Linked DNA regions of Rhinolophus ferrumequinum. The protein of the gene in region 3 purifies or fractionates together with the protein of the main gene of each other region. This does not show direct contact. Links are inferred from orthologs where the notes say so. Each region holds a gene or a part of one and is shown on either strand. Other genes may lie near its edges.

Region 1 (8,080 bases), on a different chromosome or scaffold from region 3:
CCAGCCTGGCTCCTTCCTTGAGGGAACAGACTGTATGTAGTAACTCAGAACTGGGGGTATAGAGATGGGCTGTTATGTCACTGCTTAGGGAGAGAATGGCAGCAAAGGTGCCAAGGGCAGAGAGAGGAGTCCTTTAATACCCTCCCAGCCAGCTTTTCCACCACAGACTTGCATCCTGAGCAACCCCTAACCACGAGCCGCTCAGCCTTACAGCCACCTTGTGGAAAAAGTCCACTTAATGACCACAATAGAAAGAAAAAAAAAGTGATTAGCCTCCCAGTCTGCAGTGACTGGTTGATCTGATGTTCTTTGCTAAAACATTCAGAGCCATCTTCATAAAACATCTCCATCACTGACGAGTAATTCAAAAGCTCTATCTAAGGTTTTGGTGAATGGGATTGATCCAAATCCTGACCTCACTTTCATTTCATTTCATGCCAGCACCAATACACACCCAGCCGTGCAGACCCTGTCTAACCAGTGAGCCGCTCAGACACAAAGGCGCTCTAATTACCATCTGCAAGCTAGGTCGACAAGGATTTCAAGCGTTTTCATGTTTATAGAGATCAGAGAAATATGTTCTGTGCATGTTTCCCTCCGACAGCAAGTATAAAATAAAACCAAACAAGAAACACAACACATTTATTTTAAAAAAACATATTTCAGTTAAGTTAAAATCCTATAATCAGGATAGCCACAATTCCAGACACTCCGGTGCGAAGTGTAGATATGTCAATAGCCACATCTGGATGATGAATAAGCCATTGAATCTTATAAAACTAAAACACCAACTAAACGGTCTTAAATCCCTCAGAGTGAGTGAACAGTATGTTACAAGCACTTGGCGGTTCACAATGGCACAGCCTGCAGCTTCTGCATTTGGAGGGCCACATTTTCTACTCGGTTTCTTTCACTTACAAAGGCAAGCTGGTATGGCTGGGGGAGGGGCAGAGGGAGGAAATCAACTCCATCTATCCAGGGAATTGCAGCTGTTATTGCAAATGGCCCCGGAGAGCCCATTATAAGCTGCTATGCGAGGCTGTTTCTTCCTGGAGTGCCCGTCACGTGGCTTCTCCCCAGCCCGGGCCCCCAGGAGCACCAGCACTACGCTTTTGAGTAGGACAGCAGGGCCGAGGGGGAGAGGAAGGACCGGAGGCCACGTCTCCAGAGCTTCTGTGAAAGCCAGGGGCGCGGCCGCCCTCAGGAGGCACCGGCGCCCAGCACGTCCCTGCCTCCCTGCACCCACGGTGGCGGCGGTGCGCATGTCCTCAGGAGACTCCAGAACTTGCAAAAAACACTGCGCTCTTTTCCGAGTACAGGCAGAACCCGGCTACTTTTCTGTCTTGCTGGAGCCCCACAACCCCATGTGCGCCCAGGAAACAGTGACCTTGAACTCGCGAAGAGGCGGGCCAGCTGTAAAAATACTTTCGAGAGGACCAAGGGTTCCCTCCGCGCCTCACCCTATCCTTTCCCCAGCACCACCCGACCCGGCCTCCCATCCCCACCCGGGGCGCACTGCTTCTGCTTTCCCCTACCACTCGGAGAACCGCAGCCAGTTGCAAAGCGGGGGCAGAGAAAGGTTACTTCTATTTAACTCCCAAAACGTCCCTTCACGGTACCAGGTGTTTTAAGAACCAGCACCCTAAAAGACACGAGATGGTTTTTTTGTGTGTGTTAAGTTTTCTAGTCTGGCAGATTGAGGTACTACGAAACGATCGTCTATTCATGTTCACCTCCCCCAAAAGTGGATCAAGGACCAGCCTTGAAAAAGCAAAGCAAGTAACGGATCATCCTCGTCGCGCGTGCACTCTGCGATCCTGAGAAGCGTGGACTGTGGCACTATGGTTGCCGGGCCGTGGAACTGCAAGCTGTGCCTCCAACATGGTCATACATAATAAGGTGTCCTATTGATTGTGAGCTTGGGATACGCTTTCTTCAATAGGGCCAAATCCTGTTTTTCAACATCAGAGCCCTTGACCTCAGTTTCCCACGAAAACACTCGCGATTTTTCGATTCATCGTCTTCATTACTTTCCCGCTTCCAAAAGCGCGAGTTCACCAGTCTGAGTAGAGATGTACCTCTCAGGGGAACCCCTTGCCCTCCAGAGGCTGGCGCTGTGGCCACTCCCGGGATATTAGCTGCCGGGGACAAGAACGCTGTCGCCAGTTCGGAGCTGCGCCCTCCTCCCTGTCGCGCCAGAGTTGCTGCAGGCCGCGCGAGGGCTGCGGGGCGACGGTGGCTTGTGCACCGGGGCTGTCAAAGGCCTCAGGAGCGGGTTTTGGGGAAGCTTTGCATGTAACTGCAGCCGTCGCGAATGAAGCCTTCGAACCGCCTCTTTGATGAGATTCCCGGAGAGCACGAGCTGTTGCAAGAGCCGGTGTGGGTCGTCGTCGCCGGTGCGGACTTCCGGCTGGGGCCCGCGTCGCTGCTGCAGGCGGCGGGAGGCAGCGGCGCCCCGCAGCCATCCTCGCCGGCACGGACCCGACAGCGGCTGGGGGGCGCTCCTCTTGTTGGCTCCCGAATGCCCATCTAAGTTGGGCTGAGGAGGCAGTGGGGACAGGGCGCTAGGGCCTGCGGCGAGCTCCGCCACAAAGTAGGGCGCAGACCGGCCCCGCACGCGGCCGCGGTCCCCGAGGACGCAGCGCAGGGCCCCCAGGGGCGCCGGGCCCACCGCCCCGGCTGGCGCGGTCGGCAGAAGCAGCGGCAGCCCGGGAAGCCCGACCTTGTCTGTCCGCACCGCCGCCGGAGGCTGCGGGGGCTGCACCGGCGGCCCGGGGGGCGCGCACGGGGAGGCCGGACTGTCCTGCGTCGCGTCCAGCTGCAGCGTCTCGCCGATCTGGGCCACCAGCCGGTCCACCTCGCCCGAGCCGCCCAGCGTCACCGACTGCTCCAGTAGGAGAAAGCTGCCCTCTTCCTCCCCCTCCGCATCCTCGCCGGCTTCCTCTTCCTCTTCCCTCCGGCAAGGCATGGCACCCCACCCGAGCACCCGGAGCTCTCCAGACGTCGCTGGCGGCTCTGTGGATCGCGGCGGAGCCTGGCGCGGCGATGAAGCCGAAAACCGGGCCGGGGCCGGGGCCCGGGCTGGGGCCGGGGGCGGGGCGGACGCGGAAGCCAGAGACCCGCAGGCACTCGTGCGGTGCGCTGCAGCCGCGGGAGCCGGAATCCTACCGGCTCTGGTTGATTTGTAAACAATGGGTGACGTTGCCGCTGGGCCCTACCACCGCGAGGGTGTGGGGGTGCGCAGTGCGGTTGAGGGGGACGGGGGTTCCCCTGGGCGGGGGTCCAGGCTGAAGCCTTGCTCCCTAGAGCTCCACAAACCTGAATACTGTCTGCGTGGACTCACTGGGTAGCTGATCTTCGCCTTCTCAGGCGGGAGTGTTTGGCATTTACAGAAGATGAGCACCGGCGTGGACTCTGTTGGTTTCTTCCACACACAAGCACAGACACTTTCACTCACACGCCCACACACTCCCCTCCTCTGAGCGCGTCAATTCGTCTGGTTTTGGCTTTTGCGCTTTTGAGATCCCAGGTTCTAGAGTCTGGTAAGTGATGACCCGGCGAGTGAGAGGAGGGTGGAGAGGTGACGGAGTCAGGCTAGGGATTTGTCTGGAGATTGGGGAAATGGGGACCCTGTGCTTCGATGGAGGTGGCAGACTTGGAATTGGCAAAGAAAAGCCACAGATTAATGTTTCTTGATTAGGAGCAATGGGTATGTGGGGTCTTGGATTGGGGCTGGCGTTACTGGCGAGGAGGAGGTTGCTAGTCTTGGGAAGAGCTCTGAGCTAGAAAGTTCTTTTAAGAAGAGTGCCTCAGCCAAGTAGAGGAGAATCCTGTCTGAGAGGGTTGCAGGAGAGGAAAATGGTGAGCTGTTTGGATGGAAATGGAGAGATGATCCAGCTTAACCCTTTAAGATATCATGATTGGCTTAATGATTAACCAAGACTTCATTTCTTAAAAGGAGGGACAGAAAAATCAATCATTTACTGTTATGTTGTTTGGAGGTTTTAGATGTTTATTCAGAATCCCAAACCCCTCAGGCCTAACTTCCAAACTCACCTGTAGGTAGACTTAGTGGACCAGCCTTTACAAGCCATTCAGGGGAGAGATTAGCAGGGTGATAGAAGTTTTGAAAATATTCAAAACTGGATTATAGTAATGGTTGGACCCCTCAATTTTACTAAAAATCATTGAATGTTCACCAAAACTGAGTGAATTTTATATTTAAATTATATTTCAATAAAGTTGTTTTAAAAATTAGCCACAAAGTATGCACACACAAACACAGAAGCCAGGTACTAGGAAACTGCTTTAAAATACTGAGCAGGAGAGTAGCATAATTTAGAAGAGAGTGCAAGAGGAAGAGACTGGAGCCTGGGGATCCAGAGAAGTAGAAAAAAGGGTCTTAGTGGGCAGGTCCAAAGATGATAATTACAGGAGCAAAACTGTAGGGAGGGATGAGATGGAGAGAACAGGTGGGAAGTTGTTAAAAAAAAAAAAGAGTTGGGCTTATTTTTGTCATGTATGGGGAGAAGAATATGAGAATGAAGGAAGAGGCAGTTTGAAGAAAGCCATTGAATTTTTGGAAATCTTGGAAATTAAATCTTGGAAATCCAGACTTCTACAGAGTGCCATAAAATTTATCACCTCATTTTAGTGGATTCCTTACGATTTTCTATATGTAAGTTCATGTCATCTGCAAATAGAGGTGGTTTTACTTCTTACTTTCTAATCTGGATGCCTTTTATTTTTCTTGCCTAGTTGCTCAAGCTAGAATCTCTAGAAAAGTGTTGAATACAAGCGGTGAGGGCAGACATTCATGTCCTATTCCTCACCTTAGAGAAAAGCTTTCAGTCTTTCATCATTAAGTATATTATGGGGTTTTCATAGATGGGCTTTACTAGCTTGAGGACATTACCTTCTATTCTTGGATTGGGGCTGGTGTTACTGGCGAGGAGGAGGTTGCTAGTCTTGGGAAGAGCTCTGAGCTAGAAAGTTCTTTTAAGAAGAGTGCCTCAGCCAAGTAGAGGAGTGTCCTCTCTGAGAGGGTTTCAGGAGAGGAAAATGGTGAGCTGTTTGGATGGAAATGGAGAGATGATCCAGCTAAACCCTTTAAGATATCATGATTGGCTTAATGATTAACCAAGACTTCATTTCTTAAAAGAAGAAATGTTGTGTTTTGTTTTTTCTGTCATGTTTTTGTTTTTGTTTTGTTTTTTTCAATCATGAAAGGGTCATCCCCTTATTGTAAATCAGTGTTCATTTGAGAGTGTGGTCAAGTAGCCATTTATTAGGTAGAATATTCTGAGCCTAGTTATTTAAAAATTTAATACGAAAACAATTGGTAGCAGTTTACAATTTGTATTTTTAATCTCTGGTTCAAAATCTGTAAGTTTCATATATCGTGTGGGTATGAAAAATGGTACAACCACTTTGGGAAAAGACCTGGCAGTTTCTTACAAAACTAAATGTACACTTATCCTATGATACAGTTCCAATCCTAGATATTTACCTAAGAAATAAAAACATATATCTGCATCAAGGCCTACAGGCAGACAATCATAGAAGCTTTATTCATAAAAGCTATAAACTGGAAACAGCTCAAGTGTTTATCAACAGGTGAATGGATAAACTATGGCACATTCATAAGATGATAACAGAATATGCTTTAGCAACAAAAAGGACGGAAGTATTGCTATATGCAATAATATGCAAAACAGTACTCTAAGTGAAGGAAGCCAGAGACAAAAGATCACATACCATATGATTCTGTTTATATGATGTTCCAGAACAGGAAAAATTAATTTATGGTAGGGAAAATAAATCAGAAGATTGATTGCCTTTGGAGAGGGTGGGGTGGGGCAAGGACTGAGTCAGAAGAGGCCTGAGGGAACTTTAAGAGTGGTGGTAATGTTCTATATCTTGATAGCTTCACTTGGGTTGCACAGGTGTATGCATGTGCTAAAACTCATTGAATTATAACTTAGAATTTATGTATGCAAATTTTACATGAAAAGAAGAAAAAACTATAAACAAATATTGAATCCTGGTTAATAGACATGCTGATGAGTCTAGGGGTGAGGTGTACTGATGTTTGAAATTTATTCCCAAGCATACAAATATGTGAGATGAGTTAATACATGAATAGACAGGTATGATAAAGCGTGTATAGTAAAATGTTAATGTTACTGTATGACCTAGCGATTCCATTCCTAGGTATATATCTGAGAGAATTGAAAACATACGTTAACACAAAAATTTGTACATTGGGGCCGGCCTGGTGGCTCAGGCGAGGCGGTTAGAGCTCCGTGCTCCTAACTCTGAAGGCTGCCGGTTCGATTCCCACATGGGCCAGTGGGCTCTCAACCACAAGGTTGCTGGTTCAATTCCTCGAGTCCCGCAAGGGATGGTGGGCTCTGCCGCCTGCAACTAAAGATTGAACATGGCACCTAGAGCTGAGCTGCCACTGAGCTCTCAGATGGCTCAGTTGGTTGGAGCACGTCCTCTCAACCACAAGGTTGCCAGTTCGACTCCCGCAAGGGATGGTGGGCTGCGCCTCCTGCAACTAGCAACGGCATCTGGCCCTGGAGCTGAGTCCTTCACAACTAAGACTGAAAGGACAACAACTTGAAGCTGAATGGCACCCTGCACAACTAAGATTGAAAGGACAACTTGACTTGGAAAAAAAAGAAAAGTCCTGGAAGTACACACTGTTCCCCAATAAAGTCCTGTTCTCCTTCCCCAATAAAAAAAAAATCTGAAAAAAAAAATTTGTACATAAAGATTCATAGCAACATTATTCACAATAGCCAACATGTAGAACAACTCAAATATTCACTAGCTAATGAGTGGTTGAATAAAATGTGGTATATTCATACAATGGAATATTATTCACTATAAAAAAGAAATGAAATACTGGTACATGCTATAGCATGGATGTACCTTGAAGACATTATGCTAAGTGAAAGGAACCAAACACAAAAGGCCACATATTGTATAATTCCACATATATAAAATTTCCAGAGTAGAAACAGAAAATAAATTAGTAGTTGCTAGGGGATAGGAGGAGAGGGGAATTAGGACTAACTTAATGAGTTTCTTTTGGGGTGATGAAAATGTTCTAGAATTAGATAGTGGTGATATTTACACAACAGAGTGAATATACTAAAAACCACTGAAGTGTACATTTCAAAAGTGTGCACTTTAAAATTCACTTTAAAGTGAATTTAATGTTATGTGAAGGATATCTCAATTTTTAAATCTAAAATATGTTAATGATAGCATCTAGGTGCTGGGTAATAGTTCACTGTCAAATTCTTTCATTTTTGTTGACTGTTTGAAATTCAGAATAAAATTTTAGAAAAAAAATAAGCCACAGGAAAGGAGTGATTCATTTTGTGACTTCATTTAGAACTGCCCAGGGCATGGAGGGCTTAGGGCTGACTATTGTGAAGGAAGGGAGGAAATGTACATACCCCTGCTGGCAGGTTGGCCGGGGAATTGTGTGGACTCATACTCCAGTGTTGGAAAACTGGAGACAATCTGCTGTGGGCTGACTGAAGTCTTGCCCACTGGAGAATTTCAAACTGTACGGCTGGAATGAAGCTTGCCACTTTTATTTATTTATTTATTTTTTACACTTTTATTTATTTATTTATTTTTTAACAGGACTTTTATTGGGGAACAGTATGTACTTCCAGGACTTTTTTCCAAGTCAAGTTGTCCTTTCAATCTTAGTTGTGGAGGGCGCAGCTCAGCTCCAGGTCCAGTTGCCGTTGCTAGTTGCAGGGGACGCAGCCTACCATCCCCTGCGGGAGTCGAACCGGCAACCTTGTGGTTGAGAGGACACGCTCCAACCGCCTGAGCCACCGGGCCGGCCCGACACTTTTATTTTTTATTTTTTTAAATAAATTTTATTGGGGGAATATTGGGGAACAGTGTGCTTCTCCAGGGCCCATCAGCACCAGGTCGTTGTCCTTTAATCTAGTTGTGGAGGGCACAGCTCACTGGCCCAATCGGGAATCGAACCAGCAACCCTGTTGTTCAGGGCTCGCGCTCTAACTAACTGAGCTACCCGTCCTCC
Region 2 (7,756 bases), on a different chromosome or scaffold from region 3:
CTCTGAGGAACAGAGAAGGGATGGGGGAAAAAAAATGAAATCCAACGCAATTATACCTTTTAGCTAAGGAAGCATACAGCTCACAGGATTTAACTCCGTAAGCTGAAAACCAAATTGCCCACCCGCTTAGGGGTCACGGAACCATCGGCTTTGTTGCTGCTGCTGCTGCTACAAGCCTGCGTTGGGTGTGAGGGGGGACTGGCCTGGACCAGACGCCCATGGTCTCAGGGCCTCCCTGCCACTTCCAACAGGCGCGCACGGAGCCCACAAGCTTGGGCGATGCCTCCCAACCTGGCCAAGGGGGTGACTGCAACACAGCCTGCCACGAGGGAAGTGGTGTGCCCAGAAGTGGGCCGGAGACAAGCATGTCAGGTCCAAAGTGCCTGGAGCACTGAACAAGCCGGAGGAAGCAAAATAAAGTACTAACACAAAGGGGGGCTCTCCCTGGCCACCACGCCACACTCTGGGGCCTGGCCTATGAGGAATCCCCCGCCACATCTGCATTCTCACTCGGCGTCCAACTTCACCTGCCAGCAGCTCCTGATGGCTAGAAGTGAGAAGCTTCCAGAGATGGAGGCTGGGTCACAATTACGTGCACCCAGTGACATTTCTGCGGCTAATGACTTCTTATGAAAACTACTGGGTAGGCTGTAATCTCAGCCTCAGCAGGAACAGCCTGTTTCTTAAGGTCAAGGATGGTGGGCTGTGGCGCCCTGCTGCTCATGGACCACTCCGACTGCAAAGTCACTTTCTTGGAGCACCATCAACATGGAATGAGTACCTGTGATGTCTCAGCCCCACCCCAGCTTGTGAATGTCTCATGTCCTCTTGTCCCGGATACCAGAGGGCCTGTACCCGGCCCCCGGAGCCGGATCCTTAGAGATACTCTGCAGTTAATCAGCCTTGAGAAAGAACCAAGTCACTGTGTTAGAACGACAGGCTCATTATGAATCACTGTCACTTTCTCTTAAGGTGCTTTATGACGTCTTTGTCAATTATTTGTGGCAGCCTGATTTAAACATTTTCTGCAGGACCCACAGCACCTGGCACAAGGTCTGGCGACTAACGGGCACTAATAAATATTTAATTCCTTGACATAAAGGAAAATGACACTTGCTACAGATGCTGAACTACTGTGCCATACAAAGAGCAGTCAATTCAAGATCTAGCCCTTTATGACCAAACTGCGGCTGTCTTAAGACTTACATTTTAATTCACGTGTGAACCAGTCCCTCTAATCATTTTAAATGATTTTTCATTGCTCAGAAAAAACATTCCTTATAAATCATATCTGTTTTTGGCTGTCCACTGACAGAAGACCTTTGGTGTCTCTGGAAGCACATGAACAAACTTCCCAGATCACTGACGTTATTGAAATGTGCTCCGATTCCCGCAAGCTCCGGGTTTCCACAGAGAAGTACATCAAACATTTAGTGTACACACACACACAAATCACACATAAAGCAGTTACATTAATTCAGGTCAGAGTCAAATGCCCACAAGCACTGAATCTGGCCAATAGCGTGTAACCACCATCAATAAAAGGGTTCCATAAAAGGAATCCATACAACTGATACCACATTTAAAGTCTCCTTTAGTCACTGCCAAGACATAACCCCTGGGTACCACGGCAGCCAGCTCAATGCTATAGATGTGTATATATTTATTTGACTCAAATATAACTTTTGATTTATGTGGAGTGTGGAAGCGTCAGCAATTAAACTCTTGAAGGGCTAAGGGCTACAGTTTTGCATATAAACCATTCCCCCGTGACTTAAATTCTTAATGACCCATGTAAATCCCCAAAATCCACTTAGCTTTTCTGAAACTAGGAATCCAAGAAACACCAACACCTGCTGAAAAGCAAACAGGAAACACTACTGTATTTTATATGCTTTCTCATCTTTGTTCCCGAACAGAAGTTCTTAAAAGCGAAACCCTGACGCTGCTGACTATCTTGAGAGGTCAGGTTTAGACTGTGTGTTCTCCAAAACAGGGCCTGTGGGTCCCAGTCTGCCTGAGATTCGCCCTAAAGAAGCAGAGAACATACGTGTGAGCAAAAAAGAGGGGCCGAGCTGCACAGTAAGAACTTTTTATGAATTATCTGAGAGGTGAGCTGAGAAAAATCCCCAGAGAATTATTTTTCTCTCCACTGTCCTCTATGCTAAAAGTTTCACTGTCCTGGTCATACAGCTCTGGTTTCGTGGGGGGCTGAATTCCAAAAGGTGGTGTGAACGTAGAATTGAAGACCCATACCCAAGAGATAGTTTGGGGGACAAAGCATCACCCTGGAAGATGACAGCCATTCAGAGAAGCCAGACAGCCGGGGCCCAGTCTCAGGCACCTTCCTTGGGTTTCAGGCTCCTTCAGTCCTACTTTTTGCTGGGAATAGCAGAACAGGACGCGCCACTACCCAGCCTCTCTCTAGAACCCCTGCACACAATGTCTGGCCCCAGCAGCTCCTTTGCACCCCACCCACACCCTGAAACATGCCCAAGGCTCACAAACCACCGCACGCACGCAGCACCATGCCATCCAACACACCAACCAGCTGCACACCCCAGACCCCTCGAGGAGGACCCCCCCAACCGCTTCTCAGAATCCTAGGTCTTCACCTAGAGCAAGAGTCTGCCCTTTCTGAACCAAACCCGGCACTCTTCATCCCAATGTCACTGGCCCTCGCCTTCCACATCCCCTGCTAGCACCCCCGTCTGACACACCTGCTCTCACAGCCTCGGTCCCCACGCATCTTCCTCGCCTATCACCGCGGTCTGCACAGCCTCCATGCACTCCTGCACGCCTCCCCTCACACACTCGGGGCCCGCACGGCCTCCCCTCACCCGCCCTCGGTCCGCACAGCCTCCCTTCACACGCTCCCAGCCCGCACCCGCCGAGCCCCTCTTCCGGGTCCCGCGCCCAGCCCGCCCGGTCCGGCCTACGCGGCCTACAATGGGCGGACGGACTGGCCCGCGCCCCTCAGGAATGCGCGCTCTGCCCGCACTACTCACCCGCGCGCGGCGGCAGCGGTGGCAGGGCCCCGGGCCCGACTCCCGGAGCGGCGCGGCGCGGCACGGCCCATGCGCTCAGCGGCGGGGCGACGGGCAGGACGGGGCGGGGGCGCGGCCCGGGGCGGCCCCCATCGCGGCGGCGGCGCGGCGGCCCGGAGGCGGGCGCAGGCAGGCCGCGAGGGCGCCGCCGAGGCCGGCCGCCCGCTCTCACCGGCCTGCTCCGCGGGGACGCGGCTCCGGCCCAACTCCGGCCGGTCCTGCGGCGGCGGCCGCGATCGCTTCCCCGAGCGGGGAGCCGGAGCCCAGAGCGCCGAAGCCCAGGCCGGAGCGCCCCCGCCGGCGCCGCCCGGAAGTGCGGGGGCGGGGCCGGGGCTTGGGGCGGGGCCAGGACGTGGGGCGGAGCCCCGAGCGAGGGAAGGGCCGACAGCGTGGGGCGGGACCGGGACTTGGGGTTGGCCGAGAACGTGGGGGAGAGGCCGAAATCGTGAGGGCGGGGCCGAGGGTGGGAGCCGGGCCGAGAGCGGGAGCCGGGCCGAGAGCGCAAGACGGAGCCGGAGCGCACCGATAAGGCGAAGAGCATCGGGTAGGACCTCGAACGTGGGTTTGAGGCCTGGGACGTGGAGGCGGGGCTAGAGCACATGGTCGAGGTCGAGAGCGTGGGGGAGGGGCCGAGGGCGCGGGGCGGGGCCGAGAGTGTGGGACCCGGGCCGAGAATGCAAGAGGGACCCGAAGCGCCTGGAAGGGCTAAGAGCATGGGGGTGGAGCCTCCAACGTGGGAGCGGAGCCTAGGACGTGGAGGCGGGGCCTGGGCGTAGGGGTGGGCCCTGAGTTTTGAGGCGGGGCCAAAAGCGTCCAGGCCGACCTGGAACGTGAGGCGGAGCCGGAATGGGAGTGGGCGGGGTTATATATGCTAATATGACGGGGCCGTGAGCGGGGAGTGGAGCAAGGACGCTGTCTTGAGGGGACTCGGGAGGGGGCGTTGGGAAACTGCGCATGTCCCTCTGGACTGTGGAGTCCAGGGTAGTGGCGTCGGGGAGACGCCCCCGCGAGGGTCCCTGAAGAACTGTAGTCACCAAGGAGGCTTGGACCAGTGCGCCAAGTGGACGACCGTCCCCCAATGTGGTGGACACCGCTGGGTGCATGCCCTGTTGCCGCCCTTTTCTGCTGCCCACGCTGGTGTCCACCAGCTTAGGGCTTCCGAGGTCGGCACCCACAGGCCCGGCCCGCGCCCGGGTGGGCAAGGTGCCCAGAGGGACTGCAGATCTAGGGGCTGGCTGGCCCTGGACAGGAAGACCCGCAGCAGGATGGCCACCAACTTCCCAGGACACTGAAAGAAGCAGACGTCCAGGAGTTGGGCACTTTGGAAGGCAGAGGTAGGCTGACCAGGAACTGAGCCCCTGGTGATATTTAGCCTGTCTCCCCCTTCTCCCTGCCCACTGCTCCCCAGCTGGCCAGGACCCTGAAAAGGTGGTCTGGGGCTACACCCTCCCTGAGTGCCCAGGCAGTCTGGACTCAGACAGGGCCAGGGCACACAGTAGGCAGGAGGCATCCAACAAATATGGCAGGAGCCCCAACCTCTAAAGAGCTGTGGGCTGCGACTGGCTGAGGCCCTACCCAGGCTGGGCCCACCTGCCTCCATTTCTCCCAGGCACCATCCAGGGTCTGGACAAGGGCTCCCTTTCCCACCAATGACTGTGAGTCCCACATGCCCACACCGTCCTGAGAGCAAGAGCTTTTAGGTGACCCGATCCCTGCACCTACCACCTTTTATCCCCCTCACTGTCACGAGGCAGCCCTTGCCTGACCTGCAAGCATAGCTGGCCAACTCTGTTGCAAGCCCACCACCAACCCCTCCCCAAGGGAAGGATTGTCAATACCAGGAATTGATTAATGTCCCTAAAGAATTGCTTCTGCCACCAGTCACAACCACCCAGGACTCTATCCTCTGCACAGCATTGCTGGGCCTGGCACCTGGAGAAATGCTTCTGGCAGCCCCTAAGGGACAGCCATGCCCCCATTCTACAGACAAGGAAGCTACCACTGAGGCCCATAGAAACCTGCTCCACCGCCTCCTATCCCAGGGCTCCCCAACACCTCATCCATCCACACCTTCCCCAGCAGCCTGCTCTCTGGTATCCACAGTCTTTCAGGGCCCTTCTCTGCTGGTGTCTCCACCATGCCACCCTCCTCTGGGTGTGTCTGGTCAGTTGCCCACTTCATGTGTCCACCATGCTGCCCCTGGAAGCCCCCCAGGTCACCTCTAATGTCACATCTCCCGTACACTGCTCACCCTTGCTGCCCACCCTCATCCTACATGGCTCCCAGGCAGGGCTAGAAGTCCCAGCTTGGGCTTTCTTTGACCCACCAGCCAACGTCCCACCCAGGAGCCCACCAGTGGTACCAGCCTCTCCCAGGGCTCAGCATAGCACCCAGTGCCCAGGATTTTGTAGGAAAGGGGAACAGTGAGAGATAAGGGCCACTAGAAGCATCTCAGCCTGCCAAGGGCCCAGGCCACCTCCTAGGGTCACCATACCTAGGGTCAGGCTAGGCAGGGGTTGGGGCTGTAGGTGAAGACAGCACACCACAGAAATTGCACTTCTGAACCCACACTGGCCCCACTAGGGTCCTGGAGGCAGGTGTCACACTCATCTCAGTCCAGCCAGGATGGCGGATGGCCCCAGGCCCCAGAGTGCTGGGCACAGGAGATGCCCCTGCAGCCCTTCCCCTCCCCTGTTTAGCTTCAGAGGCTTAGAGGAGACAGAGTGGGTGGCCTTCATGGCACAGCAGAGTCTCTGTGGGGTTTGGGAGTCCTGGGTGGCCTGGACATTGGCCTTCAGGCTGCCACCCCTCTCCCAGAAAGGGGCCCCCAACGCTTGCCTTGGTTCTGCAGAGCTGTTGCTGCGGCCAGGCCAGGCTCCTGGGGTTGTGTCCATGTCTATCCTCCTCCTGGCCCATGGTGGCAGGTGTCCCCAGGCCCTGGTACCAGAACAGGGTCCTCGGGCCTCCGGCTCCTCGGGGCCCCCGCCCTGCAGGAACAGGAAGGGAGTCAGAAAGCCTGGAGGAAATTCAACAGCCCTCTATGGTGGGTTATGGCTGTGGGCACGGACAGGAGATTGTCTGAGCTGGGTGGGCATGGGGGCAGATCAGGGGAGGAAGCTCTGGGAAAACTCTGAACGAGGGAGGTAGGGAGGGCAGCCCTGGGACCTGCAATGGAGCAGTGATGACCTGGCAGGGGGACTGCATCAGCCACCCAGAGCTGAGAGGAGACACAACTGCAGGAGCCTCACTTCTGAACAGCTGAACTCCATGGCGGAGCACCCCCTTTGCCTTCCAGAGGTCCGCTAAAATGAACCCCCCTTCCCTGGGAGCAGAAGTTTGCCACTAGAGGCTTTGATTTGATTAACTGAAGATGACATTTTTTCAGGCTTTCCAGGAACTACACGAAACACTTAGGAGTAGAAATGACATTATTTTCTGCGATTTAGACAGACAGGGAATACTGTGAAATAAAGTGAGCTTTGAAGCCTTACAGGTGTTCGTGCACTTGGCTGAGGAAGACAGCTTCTAAAAAGGGTTCCAAAGTCATCACCCAGATGCACCAAGAAGGTATGTTGAGGCATTTGGGGCATGGACCGATGCAGGAGGGTGAAAACTGGCAGCAGAGGACTAGCTGCAGAGATGGGACACTGTGAAGGTCCCCATCCTCCTCCTGGGACGAAAGGACAGGAGGAAGCGTATTGATTCAGGCTTCCAGAGGAAGACGGGAGACTCAGAATGAGCCCCCTCCAGGCACTCCATTTCCTGCCCGCTTTGCCCAGTCCCCAGGTGAGGGGGTGGGGATGAGCAGGCAGGTAGAGAGCCTTGGCTCTTCCAGTTCTGAGGGGAGAGGAATGGACTTCCCTTTGGAGGAGAAGCCCCAGCCACACTGGCCAGCCACCTTCCTGACCACCAGCCCAGCCCCGGGCTCCATCTCTCCTCCCTGGGTGTGTGCTTTTCCATCAGTTTTGAGCTCAGCAGGGAGGACCAGGTGTTGTCTGGGCCCAACAGAGGACATGGAGCCATTGCACCAAGGTGTCAAGATGTAACACCAAGGAGAGAAGCTAAGAGCCCACACACAGAGGGTACCCATTTTTATGACTATAGAACGTGTGCAAAGAAAGGCAAGAGGACTCAAGAACTATCCCAGGGCATTGATACCAGGTTATGGCTGGAGAGCAGAATTAGGAATGGAGTCCATTCTCTTCCATATACACTCAGGAAGAAGTTCTGTGTGAAATCACTATTACGATCACATGGAAACCACAAAGTTCTGCAGCAGGCACCACCTTGCAATCAGTGGTCAGAGCAAGACCAGCAGGGGTGAGGACCCTGTAGGAAGGGACAGAGATGACCCATTGGGCAGTAGTGGGCAGGGTGGCAGATCATCCTGTGACTGCTGCAGTTGCCCCAAGTCAGGTCCCAGGACCAGCGAGAAGGTGCTGCCTTGAGCTTCCTGGGCTGACTCCGGGCTGGGGTCCCCGAGCCTCTTTTCTCCTGTGTTTAGCTCCTCGCTCCCTTCACACCGGTGGGCAGGTGTGTTGTCCACGCTGGCACTTTGCATCCCTCTTGCTGTGTGGAGTTTTCTCACCAGCCCTTCCGCTGAAAATGCCCGAGGCAGACTCCCCAGGAGTGATGCTGGCCCCCACACCAAGATAGGGAGTTAGGGGTACAGGAACAGGGGCTTTGCCTCAAACAAGCTGGTTCCAGTG
Region 3 (7,195 bases):
AGCAGAAGCTTAACTCCGTAAAGGTAGAGGACTTGGGAATCAGATGCTAGTCTTGACCTTTGGCAATTCTCTTATCTGAGTCTCAGTTTCCAGCTTCTGCTTACTTGAAATGGGAATAACAATAGTATCTACCTTCAGCGAACCTTTATGTAAATTAAACAAAAACTCACCTGCAAAGCCCTTACAAAGAGGAAAAGCCCAATAAATGTCAGCTCTGGGCTCTGCTGGAATCTATATTCCCATCTTCCACACAACTCACTCTCTTCTCTCCCTTCTCCTCGGGCCCATGCTAAGATCCTCTGTAGAACCCTAAGGCCAGTGCTTCTGGGGCTCTCTCACCAGTCATGCCCAGTCAAGCCTCCATGTCCTCACCCGTGCCGCGCCCCCCAAGCTACCTTAAACCTCTTGTCTTGAAGAACCTTCTTGATGGCTACCAGTTCCCTCGTCTCTGCCAGCCGTGCCTGGTACACGACCCCAAATGAGCCATTGCCAATCACTTTGATGTCTGTGTAAGCCACCTCCTGGGAGCGATCCGGGCCTTGGCCTAGAGTGGCTACCACTGTGGTCACTTTGCCGCTGTCACCTGGGGAACAAAGGGGACACAAAACCCACTGACCTTTCCCCTCTTGCCACCATCCCCTCCTGGGGCTGTGGGAGGGAGGGGAATCACTACAGGTAGCTTTCTGGGGCCTCTCTGTCCCTTTTTCCTTTCCCCTCTCCTCCCAGTACCCTCCCCCAGGATACTGACATCTAAACCTCTTGCAGACCTTTCATCTCCATTTCTAGTAAGCAGCAAACCACTGGGTCCTTTTGGTCTAAGGAGACACCGACACTCCCAATCCACTCTGAAGTTTACTGCCCTCTGGGCCCTCCTGACTGGGGAAAGCCTTGACCTAACCTCTTCCACTCAAGTGGTAATCCTGAGGTACTTCTACTTTAGAAAAGCACTAACCTTCCTCACAGCTCAGGGCAGAGTGACCTCTACACACTCCCTGGTGGAGCTGGTAACTTCACCAGTGGTTTTTGGTGACAGGAATGAATGACTCCTCCTGGCATGAGCGTGCTAGTGCCCTGATTCTCACTTTTTGGGGACAGTTAGCCCTAATCCAAATACTTTGGGATTAGAGAAGGCATTGACCTGACCTCACCTGTACAGCCCAGAGCCCCAGACCCCTTCCAGCATGAGGGTGGACCCTAATGGACAAGCACCAAATTGTGAGACTGGTGAACCTGATCTCTATAACCAAGGGGCTAGCCCAGCTTCCATCCTTCAAAGAAAAGCTGTAATTCCCAGTTCTGGTTTCTGAATGGCAGCAAACTTTGGTAGCATTCTTTGGGGACAGGGACCCCTTTTCTTTGGGAAAGTGAGGAAAGGTTCCCCAAAGAAAAGGGGTCATTGATGAATCAAATCCATGTTGAGGGACCAGTTGACACCTTCTTTTGTCAGAGGTGATTCTACGTAGGTCTTTTTCCAGAGCCAATGACACACCTCAGAATAACGAAAGGGGTATAACCAGATCCATATTCTATGGGGAATTGTGACTCTCTCCTGCCCTCATTCCATTTTTGTGAAAGGAGACCCACCAAGCCATGTTTTAAGAACAGGGACCGTGACTTGATCTGATGGAGATACTGACTCCCACTCTGTCCTTATTTCTAAAAAGCAGCAACCATTAATTTCTACCATTGGGGGAACAATTCTACATATTATGAACAGGTAATGATACCAAACTTTGTGTTTTAAAAGGGAAGATGACCTAGGTACCAGGTTTGGAAAGCCCTAGCCCTGATCTTTGGGGACACAGTAACTCCAAATACCTGCTTCTAAACAATATTCACTCCAAATCCCATCCTTTGAAGGGGAACAAATTCAGAGCCCCTTTTCGGGTGGTGGTGTTTTTATTCTTGTTCTCTTCGGGAACAATAACCCTTGAGCTTCATTCGTAAGTGACGATGACCCCTGATCCTGTTCTCTAATGGATGGCAACGTCAGATCCCTGTTTTGAAGCCTCAAGGACCCAAGACCTTGATACTAGAATAACAGGAACCTGTGACCCCTGGTTTTTCTACGGTAACTAATTCTAATCTTAAACTGCAAGTGATGGTAACCCCCCAAATCCTTCTTTGGGAGGAGTAGAGCTCAGATCCCAGTTTTGGGAGGCACAATGACCTCGAGCTCCTATCTGGGCACATAAAAGAACCTGATCTACGATTGAGGGGCTTCAGGAACCCTCATCTCCACCCACCACGGGCGCCCCTAGTACTCACGGCCCAGCTTCACTCCCGGCGGCGGGAAGCTGGTGCCCGCGCTGGGACCGCCGCTGCCTCCTCCGCCACTGCCGCTGGGGCCACCCCCGGAGCTTGAGGCCCCCACGCCCCCACCCATGGCTCCGACTGACGCCTTCCCGCCGCCGCTGCCGCCCGGGCCGGAGGCCGAGCCCCCGGGGCCGCCACCGCCGCCGCCGCCGCCGCCTCCTGGCTCCGCGAACGAGCTGGTCCGCGCCCGGCCCGAGCCCCCAGGGCCACCCCCTGAAGGCGCGCCGCCGCTCATGGCACCGAGCGCAGGCCCAGGCCGCGGGGCTCGGGCTGCCCGAGCTGCCGCCGCTGCCGCCGCCTTCCCCGGCCTCCGGCCTCTTCCAGGCCGCGCCGCTCGGGCTCCGGCTCCGGCCCAGCGCCCGCCGCGGGGCACACCGGGAGATGCAGTCCGCCTGCCCTCCGCGCCTCCGTCACCGCCCTCGGCCCAGAGAGAGCCGCGTGGCACGCCGGGAAGTGGAGTCCGCAAAGGCTTCAGAATAGACCGTGGAGATGATGGGTCGCGCTGCCCGTCGAGAAATAGGGTCCTGGGCAATAAATCGATCCACTGTGCCCACGGCGGACCCAGAAGCACTTTGGGAGGCCAAGTCAGAGTCGCACACTTCCTCCAATGCGGCAACGGTGAGCCTCTCACCGTTCAGTGTACCTCAGAAATGTAGTCGCAGCCACTCGGTGAGCGGCCTCATGCACGCCGGGAAACGGAGTCCAGTCGGTCACTAAGTCTATTAGCTGTGTATGTCCACCAGCACCAGGTGTACTTTGGGAAATTGAGTCGGCGCAGGAGGACCCGCAGATCTCGGACCAGCAGATCTCGGACAGTGAGGCAAGCCGGGAAATGGAGTCGTCGCCACGCCCTCACCGCATTGCAGGTGTAAAGCGACTCCCAAAGCACGCCGGGAAATGGAGTCCCATGTGATTCCCTAAGTCCCAAGTGGATACTGCAGTTCCGGAGATAGACTGGGAAATGGAGTAGATATAGCGCTCCTCCTCCCTCGCACGCTAGGCCGCAGTTCCTGCCGGGAAATGTAGTCAGCACCACGGCTTCAGAGCAGTTGCTACAGCGAGCCCTTGTGTCTTCTGGGAAATGGAGTTCCAGGCAGTCTCCCATTGACTGAGGGGGAGGGATCTACTATGAGCCCGAAGCATGCTGGGGAATAGTCCAGACCGGATCCTGACACTTTGAGACTAGACTGCCTACGCTGACGGGGAAGTGGAGTCCAATTGGTGGGTACCTTCGGGAAAGCCTGAGCGAAAGGTGAAAGTCGGCAGTTTCCTATGGAGACTGAAGAGTGTTTCAACGCCTCCTTCCCCATCTCCAGGTCCCAAGAAAGAGCCTAAGTCGATTAGGAGCTGCTGGAAAGTGGAGTCCAAACACTCCTTCTAAGTTCTAAGTTTCCACAAAACAGGAAGGAAAACCCCCGTGCAAACGACTTAGGAAACAGTTACCTGCAGTTTCTCAGAACAATAGTCTTAGGATACAATCTAGCTTTTTCTAGTTTTGTGATTTGCACCCAGAGGCTGAGCCGAGCGTTAAAAAATACAATTTGTCCTGAACCCCCACTTAGCTTTTTGCGTCTTTCCACTTCCTAAATTATAGGATCCTGGAGGATCCAAAAGAGGAAGTTGGGTGCTAAGAGTACCCTTAGGTTTTGTGCACGCTTTATGTCGCCCCATTTATCGATTTAATACCCGGAAGGACGGTAGCACCAAAGGGAGCTGGGAAACAGAGTTCGTGTGCGTTTGCGTGTGTGTCCCGGAAATACTTGGAACAAGAATGAAATCACCTCAGCCCCTCCTGCCTCATGGAATGATGGGAAATGGAGTCTCTGGACTTCACTTTAATCCGATCCAGTGTTGGTGCTAACTGTCCTGACCCTTCAGAAGTCTAAAGAAAGTCTCGTCCACTTTGTCCAGTCCTGACTACAATTCCCAATGGGCACAGACACCACCACCACCACTCCCGGGGCCGGGACAGACGGTAGCGTTAAAGGCCTTTCGGACTACATTAACCAGAGGCAAAGCGCGGACACACTTCTATTCCTTCAATGAATGCGGTTGCGTCACACACAGCACGGAGCGGGTGTTTCTGGGAGTTGTAGTTTCCCAGCCAAACGGTACCTGCTGCCCTCTGACGGCAGCTCGGAGTCGGAAAGCAAAAATCTGAGTCAAGACCCAAAGCCCTGAGAAGTCAACCCTACACTGGACCAAGAAGGCCCAGAAGGGCAGCGGAGAAGGGCAGGATAGTGGCGGTTACTTAACGGCCTGGACCCGTGGGACATGCGCAGTGGGCCGCGCGTAGGCAACCGCCACAAGGGTATTGGGATCAGTGGGAGTATGAAGGCAACAGTCGGAGGGAGTCTTACCAGGATATTTATAGGGCTTGAGAACATTTGTTGAGGGGTGCCAGGGCGGGTTGTGTCTTTGAGGAGCTTTTGGGTGTCTGGAGGTACTCAGAGGTACCTTGGAGAAGTGAAGGCCTCTTACTGGGGACCAGGGGAGAAGTCAGAGGGGATTTGGGGTGTTTTTAAACGGTCTCTGGGAGACTGAGAAACTACTGGTGACTGAGGGGATCTCTGAGGTGCCTGAAGGGGTAAGGGATGGTTGAGAAGCATCAGGAAGGAGCTTTGGGGGTCAGTGTGAGTGCTGGGTGTTATAGATAAAAGGACCTCTGATGGGGTGAATTAATTGATGAAGTGTCGTGGATCTATAAAGGGATTTCTGCTTGGAATCAGAGATCCTGGAGGATGCGGTAAGGAGCAAGGGTGTGGTCTTGCAGAAACTGCGAACAGATTTAGGTGGATCGTTAAAGGTTAGAGGAGCTGCTGGAGGTTTCAAGACCCGATGCCACCTCTAACATCCCGCTCAGCCAGAATTGGGGGCAACCAGTCTGACTGGACCTGGTCTGACCTGAGCAGTTCTAGAGCTGAGCACTTTTGAATCCATGTTAGACCTGGTTAGAGGTGCTTCGAAGGTACTGAAATCAGAAGATGAGACTACTAGTCAGCGTCCTCCCCCCTCCCCCGTGATGACATCCCCTTCTCCATCACACCACCACCACCAATTCAGCTGCATCTATGTTGCCAGGAGACATGCCTCATCCCAACTTCCAGAAATAGCCCAGTGGCCCCCACCCCAGGGAGTGACTTACATCACCCAGGAGAGGGAGCAGTTGCCCGCAGGCTGCCATGGGAGCCTCGGTTTCCTGCTAATACCCCAGCCCTGGATCCTCTCTTCACTGCCAACATAATCTGGGACCAGCCATCCTTGGCTGGCATGAAATGAGGATGAAGCGAGTGGGGAGGAGCTACCAGTTCCTTCCCCGAGTCGCACAGGGTGGGGTTTCACAGTGAAGCCAGTCCAACAGGCCCTGAGCCCTCAATTCCCACTCTCTTAGCAGCTGTGTGGCCTCAGGGAAACTCCTTCCCGCCTCTGGGCCTCAGGCACCTCACCTGCACGGTAGTGGCTGAGCTGTCTGGAACAGCACTTCCAAGCCTGGATTCCTCCTGACTCGTTGATCCCTGATTCGAGCTCCCCAACCTGAGCTTCTAGCTTGATGAGCTCACTTCTCAGATCCTATGATTTTGAGACCCTGGTCTAGATCCAACCATCCTAGCTTTAGGAGGAAAACTCAGGAGTCGAAAGAACACAGACTTCATTTAGTCCTGGTTGGGCTTAGGACCTTGGACATTAACTGAGTCACTTGCCCTGCTGGATGTTGGAGATAAATAACTGCAGCTCCTAACTAGGTACTTGGTATACAGTAGGTCAATCAACAGCGACTTTGATTAAGCTAGTCCCCATCTCAACTTGCTGGTGGAGGATGTTCCCATGGTTCCACAGGAAGATCACCAAGGTCCCTTGCAAGGTGTACATTCCAAGAGACTGCAGGCCTGTCCCCAAAGGACTCCCAGACTAAGTGCTCTAAGGAGAGTGATGTGTGAGAGGACACTAGAGGTAATGCAAAAGGAGCTCCAAGCCTTCTCCAGAGCCTGGGGACATGGGGAGGAATTCAGAGCCAGAGGGAAAAGTCATTTCAGGCAATAGGTGGAGTCTAAATGCTTCCAAGGACAAGTCGCCCCATGGGATAGGGAAGCAATCAGATGATGACTGGAGTATGCCTGAGACCTAAATCATTGAGCCCTGGAGGTATGTACCTCCCACCCCCACCCCCCCTTCAGGAGGTCACTTCCCTGAAACCACACATTCAGATGGGGTTAGGCCCTCTGGCCATAGATTCACTGGGGAGTCAGTCCAGGCCCCAGTCCTTCAGAATCCAACACAGGCTATGGTCCCTTGATGAGACAGATCATTCCACCCAAAGGTCCAAAGTTTTATTGTTTTGAATACATTCTCCAGCAGCCCCCAACTTCCCTCCGCCCCCCACCCTCAGTCCCCAGTACAGAATAAGGCTTAACCACAGACCCCACCCCAGGGGCCCCAGCCAAGAGGCAGAGGGTCTTCCAGTTTGGATTCAGGGTACCCCCTTCCCACCCCTGCCTACCTACGGGCTGGTCCTAGGAGCAGCTGGGGGTAAAGGGGTTGGACCGGTTCTGGGGTGGGGAGTAGGAGAGGGATAGCAGGCACTTGTAGAGATTTGTGGCCTATGGGTGGCACCCCTCACCCTCCTCTACCCCCCACCCCTCAACACAGAATTTTTGGTTCATCATAAAATGTCCCTCCCTCCCCTGTTGCAACCCTGTGGGGTGAGAAACCCAGGCACTCATGGCCCCTGGAGGGGCAGGGAAGGCTGGATTGGGGCTGAGGATGGCTGGAGGTGGACAGGGAGAGGTACAGGAGGCAGAGAATAGGGAGGGAGACAAGGCTTTACTTCCTAAGCGATTGTAATAAAAAAGTTCCTGGGCTTCGAGGCCAAAGCCTCAGT
Region 4 (7,191 bases), on a different chromosome or scaffold from region 3:
TGAATTTACAACAGTCAGCTGAGGGCTAGAAGGCAATATCGTAATCATGGTTCCTTTTATTGTATCATACATCAAGTCTGCAAAACCCTCTCAACATGAACAAGAAGCGGTCTGTATGTGCTGGTTAAGGGGCTCTTGAGCAAAATGATGGGGCTAGAATCTCAGTCCTGCTTCTTAGTTACTCTGCTGCAACTCCAGGCAAGATATTTTAATTTCCGTCACACATTCCTCCTCTCTAAGATGAAGCCAACAATGGCATCTACCTTAAACGGATACTGAGAGAACTAAACGAGTGAACATCTAGGAAGGGCTTCGTGTGGCGCTGGGCACATGGTAAGCTCAAGAAATATTATCCGTCAATTATTATACACTAAAAATATTTAAAAATATCTTTAAAGAAAAAAGAGCTGACCTCGAAACTCCAGCCGTTTGATTCTTTACATTATGTAGGATGGCTGTAGCTGCTGCCTTGTATAACTCCAAGAGCCACGCGATGTGGGAGCCCGAACATCATGTTCCTGTTACATCAGGTGCAAGTTTTTAAAAAAGGCCAATGACGTCCCATCGGCTTTTCTTCTATTTCACATGTTAACATGGATTATTCTGAAGAATGACCCATTCGGTATCCTTTTATAGAACTCATTAGAAGTTGACAATGGTCAGGGATTATCTCCATCTTCCTCAATTAATGCTAGTTGTTAACATTTTGTGATAGTACTTTGATAAAACACAAAAATAGCATTGTGATTTAGGCTGAGTTTGTACCCTATTTGAGCGAAAGGTATGATGACAACAGGTCCTACACCTTAACATTTATGCTGAGTTTCTCCTAGAAAGCATAATGTACAAGGCAACACACCTAACTTTAAAGAGAGTACGTCTGTTATAAAAGTTTCCAATTTTTATATTTTTCTTATATTTGAAATTTCAGGCATTCTATGAACAGCCTGAATGTACTTGTAATTTTACATTCCAAAACAAAACATATAAACCTGAAAGAAGTCAGTTGCACCCATTCCTCAAAAGTCCAGTTCAAACCTCCCAAACCTAGTCTAATTCTCTGCCAGATGAGATCCCATCTTTGTTTCTATTCTCGCTATGGCAAGTGTTATCATTATATTCACAGACATGGCTTCCTATCTTCAAAATAGTGGGGGTGCCAAAAACATGTATACATAGGACTTGTATTCATTTTTTGTTACCGGTATATATTGTCACAATTTTAATAGCTTTTTCCTTTCTTAAAACGTGTATACATGTTTTTGGCACCCTCTATATCCAGAATCCAACTGCTTCTTACCATCATCACTGCTACCACTCTAACTCAAGCCACTGTCATCTTTTGTCTAGATTATTGCAATGTCCTTCTAACCGGTTTTCTTTTCTCCTTTGGTTCTCCCATCCCACACAAGTCTATTTCAACACAGCGGTTAGCACGATCCTGTTAAAACAGGCCAGATTATGTCACCTCTCCTCAAACTCCTTCACCCAGAGTAAAAGCCCAAGTTGTTATCATTGCCTACAATGCCCTCTATGACCTGACCCCTCTACTATTCCCTGCACCCCTTTCTGATGGTCCTTGACCCCACCAAGCATGCTTTTGCCATAGAGCCTCACACTTGCTGTTCCTCCTGCTTGGAAAACAACTATTCCACGTATTCACGTGCCTTGCTCCCCAGCTTTCTCCAAGTCTCTGCTAAAATGTCACCTTATTAAATAAGGGAGACCTTCGCTTACTCCTTTATATAAAAGTGACAAATCTCTTTCCTCTCCAGTGCTTCATTTTTTTTTCCTACGGCCCATATCACCAGATGGCATATGATTTATGCGATTACTGTTAGTTTCCCTTGCCTTCAACAAAATGTAAACTTCGGGAGGGCAGGGCCTTAATTAGTTCACTGCTATATCCCCAGCACTTAGAATAGTCCCTGGCTCAGGCAGGCAATCAATAAATATTTACTGATTAAAGGAACAGACCTTTCACTCGAGAACATAAGCTCCTTGAAGGTTTTGCCTGATTCTTCTTTACCTGTTACGTAAACCTTACCAGTTGCAGAGACTTTCGTTTAATGGACCCTTAACAAATATTGCTGAATGAAGAGCAAGGAAATTGAAGTAACTGAGAATGCTTGGGACAGGGCTACAAATGAGGGGTACCAACAATCCAAGCACCTACATATGTACACTGGCGAGCACACTGGTTCCAACATGAAAAGGTGGTGTGGAAAGGGGAACCAAACCTTTCTCCACCTGACAGTAGTTTGGGGCTGTGTTAGTGTTTCTAAGGCATTCACGAGTTATCAACATATACACAAAATCTCCTTAAACAGGCCGTCTTACTTTACTATCCTTAATTGAACTATATGAATCAAGACTCTGCTTAGGTTCCTTCCCCACTCATACCGTTTAATTTTCATAACAAGCCCGGGAGGTTAGCTATTAATACGCTCACACTTGGCAAAGGTTTAGAGAGAGCAGTGGCCGGATCAAGGTGGCTGGGCTAATAAGTGGCCGTATCAGGACTGTAACCCAGGACATCTGGCTTCCAGGCCAGCAAACACCTTTCGTGGTTGACTAAGTTAAGAGCCAGCCAGCCTCGCCTCTGCAGGAGTTGCCTCCCCAAAGGCAGAGAAATACGATGGCGCAGATTCCCAGAAAAGCACAAGCACTTCGCCCAGGTTTCTGAGGGGACGGGAGGCGTTAGCATTAATTACAGGAGGCAGTTCTGCCCACAAATGCCTCGAAAACTCAAGTTTCCTGGTCGCCGGCGCAGCACAGCAGGAGGAAGAAAGCGCTCGGGAAGCAGCCAGCCGCCCAACAGTAACGAAGATGAAGCTTTGGAAACAATACCTGAATGAGGCGGGTGACGAACAACTTGCTGACAATAGGCACCGGTCAACACTCGGGGGCGGCGGGAGGCGAGAGAGCGGCCGCAGCCCTCCCCGTGGAGCCGGCGGCGCTCCCAGCGCCGGGTTCCGGGGTCTGGGTCTGGGGTGACCGGGGCGGCCCAGGCCGGACCCGCCCCTGCACCCAACTCAGCCCCACACCGGGCCCCTTCTGCTGCCGCTCCTCCTGGCCCGGCCCGCTGCGCCGGGTCCCGCCCGGAGGACCCCTCGCCCGCCCTCCCTGACGCCCTCCGGCCGCCGCCAGCCCTCCCGCTCGCCCGCCCACAGCCGGCCCCGCGGACGCTCACCTGCGCGCTCCCGGCTTCCTCCTGCTCTTCCCTCCCAGGGCGTCGCAAACCGACCTGCGGCGCCGCCTCCTCTCTTCCCCGCCCTCGCCCCGCCCCCTCGGAGCCGGAACCGCTCGCTTCCGGGCCCTTCTCCCGCCTCCTGCAGCCCCAGTGTGGCGTCACTTCCGCCAGCGCAGGCCGCGCGCGGGGAGTCCGGGGCTCGCGAACGCGCCGGAGCGTCCCCAGAGTCGGGAGCGCGCCTGCGGATGACAACAAATTCGTCTCGCGGCGGCGGTGGAGGTGTCTGCCTCAGCCCCTGCCTCAGGCCCGGTCGCCTCGCCGCGCGCTCTCCTGCACCCTCTCTCCGTGCGGACGAGGACCCCTCCGGAAGACCCCGGGCCTGGGGCGCCCGCGACTCCTCCGCCCCGTGTCCCCGCCAGGCCTAGAGCGAGCGGCGCGGCGCAGGAGATGGGGTCGTCCTGAGGGACGCCTGGTGCCGGGAAGGGATGGAGGGGCCACCCCGGGCTTAGGCCCCTCCGCGGCCTGGGGACGCCGGCCAGTGCCCTTGCCGCCGCCGCAGCGGCCTGGAACCGGGGCCTGGGCCGGGAGGCCGGAGCCGCCGCCGCCCGCAGCCCTCGCCGGCCCTCAACATGCCTTGGCCGTTTTCAGAGTCCATCAAGAAGAGGGCCTGTCGGTACCTCCTGCAGAGGTACCTGGGCCATTTCCTGCAGGAGAAGCTGAGCCTGGAGCAGCTCAGCCTGGACCTGTATCAGGGCACCGGGTCCCTCGCCCAGGTCCCCTTGGACAAATGGGTAAGAGCTGCCGGCGGCCCCCCGGGCGGGACTCGCTGCCCTCCTTAGGGCGATTTGAACGAGTGTCACCCCAAATGTGTGACGTTCAGCCCCTCTCTGGGAGTGGCAGGGCTCAGAGAAGTGTGTTCCAGTCTTGTTTAATCTGTTCCTAGCAAGTTTGCGCCCCCAAATCACGTGTTCCAGAAACTTAGCAGAGGTAGTGGAGTCTACGCTGGCAATCAGTGCACGGAGGCAGCGCCTGGGGTCGGTGAGGGGGCCTGTGGAGCGCGGGGACCAAGGGCTGCCCCCTCGGGTAGGAGGGGTCGCGGGGCTCCGTGGCCAACACCCGGTTTCGTGGGAGGACACTCCGCGAGGTGAAGGATGAGGCGGACCCCTGGCAGTGTCGGAACGCCTGCTGGTTCCTGGGTGTGTTTTGGGTTGGCTGCTTGCGCACCGCGGTCTGCCTCCCGCATTCGCCATCTGGAAGAAACAGGTGAAGGCCGCCTCTGCCCATGTGCCTTCTTTGGCCCCTCGCGGTGTGACAAGGCCAGCCTGTGAATGGTTGCGTGGCCCTGGCCGTGCTGTTTAGTTACGCTGTGTGTTTCACGTGACGGATCGTAAACGCAGGTGTTGTAAAAGCACCGAAGCTGCAATTGGCAGACATTTAAACTCCTGTTTTCCACTTGTCATCCAGGGGCTGTGGGTTGACTCATCGTGTCTTACAGGTGCTTCGTGTATATTTCAATGCACCACATACAGTTGTACCGGCATTTGTGTGTTCAGTGCATACAGTATTTTACTGAAAGTGTGTTAAGCCTTGAGTTTGACAAGAATGGAGTGGCTTTTCTCCTCCCCCAACCCTTCGTTTATTGCACTCGAGTTTGCTGTTTACAGTTTGAATATGTTGTCCCATTCTGGAGTTTTACTATTCTAAAAACACTCCAACACACTTTCCACTTAGGAAATCATAGATATAGGTAAGTTTCTTAGGAGAGTTGTGTAAACAAAGGGAAACTTGTTTTCCTCCTCATTTAAGCTTTGTAAAAAGTGTGTGTTTTTTACCTTTTATGTAAAAGTATTTTAACAGAGTAATGACTTCCTGAGTCATAGAACCTTGAAATGCTCAGGTTATGGTAACACCTTATTATGACCCTTAAATTAATTGGCTCTAGCATGAATAAACATACAATTTTATCAGTAAATCGATGATTTACGCTGGGGAGAGCACATAGTAAAGTAGAAAGAGCCCTGGTCTGAGTAGCAGAAAGACCCAATGCCACACCTGGCTAACCCAGGCTACCACAGTTAGCCAATTGATATTGGATATAGTAACACATCTAAGCTCAGTAAACATTAATGGAGTGTCCACTCCATGCCAGGCAGTGTGTCAGGGTCCTGTATTGCTGTAACTCTTGCCAGAAGATAGGGTTTGTGATAGATATTTTTAAATTCATTGACCCATGAGTCTATACTTTTGGTACAGCTTTTTTTTTTCACTTGGGGAATATTGGCGAACAGTGTGTTTTTCCAGGGCCCATCAGGTCCAAGTCGTTGTCCTTCAATCTGGTTGTGGAGGGCGCAGCTCAGCTCCAAGTCCAGTCCCTGTTTTCAGTCTTAGTTGCAGGGGGCGCAGCCCACCATCCCATGGGGGAATTGAACCTGCAACCTTGTTGTTAAGAGCTTGTACTCTAACCACCTGAGCCAGATGGGCTGGCCCCTTGTGGTACAGTTTTGAATAGACTATCTTGAAGGAGGAGGATTGGGCCGTGTATTAACTGCCTTTTGTGGGTCGATTGACTTTGTACAGATTATCCTTTATGACTTTTCATATTAACTCTATGAGGTGGGTGATATGATTTCCATTTTACAGAGGGAGTTAAATAATTTCTCCAAAGCGACATGGCCAGCAAACAGTACAGTGACAATTCAAACCTGTCTAATTACTAAGCCGACTATTATTATTATTTTTTAATTAATCGTGTCTTCAAGGAAAGGACCGTGGATGCTTACTGAGCATCTATTTATTTAAGGCACTGTGCTAGGCACTCTCATTTGTGTGGTTTTGCTTAATCCTCATGGAAATCAGTTGGTAATATTCGAATTTTACAGTTTGACCAGGATTGATGGCAGAATAATTTAGGGCTCGATTTAATCTGAAGATTGTTTTGTTCTGCTCCTTGAAGGCCGGGGCTATTCCCAGCCAAAATGATAATGTCAAATAAAGCATCCAGTAAATATTTGCTGTTGCTGTTTATTTATTTATTGACTATAGTGTGCTGTGTTGGCGACTAAGATAAATCTTGATGTGACACTTAGCTATTCAAACTTCTGGTTCAAATTCAGTTACTTTTGACACTTGATTTTAATGACTTTCATTCCTGAAACAAAGATACCTCACAGATTCTTGGATCCAAGTGGAAGAATTACATCATTGGCAACATCACTAATGTTTCAGTTCTCAGCCATCAATTATGCACGGGATTATGTTGAAATTGGCTGTGACATTGCCGTCTTCCTTGATCTTAATCAGTTGTGCTTGCTAATTAATTAATTGGAAGGTGTTGCATTTTTTATATATAAAAAATTAACTTTAAAATCCATTTTTAAAAACTGTTCAGCAGACTTAGATTCATTGGGATAATTTTCCATGTTTTCGAATCTTTTATAACTGTGTAGATAATGACTTAAAAAAAGAGACAGTGTTTTTAATAGACATTATTTCAGCAACAGAATCATGTAACAATGGAAACATTTCCAAATACAATTTTTCACAACTGTTCCCCCCATAGTACAAGTATCCTTTGAAAAGCAGTTAGTTACTTTCTCACTCATTATTAAAGTGACATCTTTACTTTGAAAAGATAAAGTATGTTTAGCTTTTTGGAATACATCTGGTTGGTAGCATGTACTACCAATATCCATCTGTCATCACATGAATGGTCGGCATATTTAGCACTCTAATCTTGGTGTGGAAGAAAATTGCTTTTCATATTTAAATTCAACTCTTAAATATTTGGCCATAAGAAAACCCAGGAAATCAGAAAGTTACTGTTACTTTCTGTCTCTTTGCAAAGACTCAACTGCTTTAAGGTCTGTTTTTATTATGCAGAAGTAAGTTTCAGTGTGCTGAAAAGGAAAATCCAGCTGAGGACACCACTCTTAACTCTTCCCAGTGTGGAACTACTCATCTTCTCTTTGTACGGGTCTGATGTATGGTCTGAGTGAAGG

Evidence for each region.
Region 1: the proteins of GSK3A (region 3) and FRAT1 purify together in Homo sapiens (affinity purification with mass spectrometry; 4 studies listed by BioGRID and IntAct, with this or other methods). This does not show direct contact. The link is inferred for Rhinolophus ferrumequinum from reciprocal best matches to the Homo sapiens genes GSK3A and FRAT1.
Region 2: the proteins of GSK3A (region 3) and AXIN1 purify together in Homo sapiens (affinity purification with mass spectrometry; 12 studies listed by BioGRID and IntAct, with this or other methods). This does not show direct contact. The link is inferred for Rhinolophus ferrumequinum from reciprocal best matches to the Homo sapiens genes GSK3A and AXIN1.
Region 4: the proteins of GSK3A (region 3) and GSKIP purify together in Homo sapiens (affinity purification with mass spectrometry; 7 studies listed by BioGRID and IntAct, with this or other methods). This does not show direct contact. The link is inferred for Rhinolophus ferrumequinum from reciprocal best matches to the Homo sapiens genes GSK3A and GSKIP.

The regions. Positions count from the first base shown.
Region 1 is NC_046299.1:26,429,632-26,437,711, forward strand, and holds the start of FRAT1 (proto-oncogene FRAT1), read right to left. Parts: upstream 3,188-8,080; 5' UTR 2,969-3,187; coding exon 2,135-2,968; 3' UTR 1-2,134. UniProt on the Homo sapiens protein: Positively regulates the Wnt signaling pathway by stabilizing beta-catenin through the association with GSK-3. May play a role in tumor progression and collaborate with PIM1 and MYC in lymphomagenesis.
Region 2 is NW_022680357.1:2,360,735-2,368,490, forward strand, and holds the start of AXIN1 (axin-1), read right to left. Parts: upstream 3,313-7,756; 5' UTR 3,009-3,312; intron 1-3,008. UniProt on the Homo sapiens protein: Component of the beta-catenin destruction complex required for regulating CTNNB1 levels through phosphorylation and ubiquitination, and modulating Wnt-signaling.
Region 3 is NC_046298.1:40,146,690-40,153,884, forward strand, and holds the start of GSK3A (glycogen synthase kinase-3 alpha), read right to left. Parts: upstream 3,149-7,195; 5' UTR 2,552-3,148; coding exon 2,269-2,551; intron 584-2,268; coding exon 396-583; intron 1-395. UniProt on the Homo sapiens protein: Constitutively active protein kinase that acts as a negative regulator in the hormonal control of glucose homeostasis, Wnt signaling and regulation of transcription factors and microtubules, by phosphorylating and inactivating glycogen synthase (GYS1 or GYS2), CTNNB1/beta-catenin, APC and AXIN1.
Region 4 is NC_046289.1:7,261,853-7,269,043, forward strand, and holds the start of GSKIP (GSK3B-interacting protein), read right to left. Parts: upstream 3,265-7,191; 5' UTR 3,194-3,264; intron 3,151-3,193; exon of another isoform or gene 2,851-3,150; intron 1-2,850. Other genes in the region: ATG2B (autophagy-related protein 2 homolog B), read left to right, coding at 3,823-3,984. UniProt on the Homo sapiens protein: A-kinase anchoring protein for GSK3B and PKA that regulates or facilitates their kinase activity towards their targets.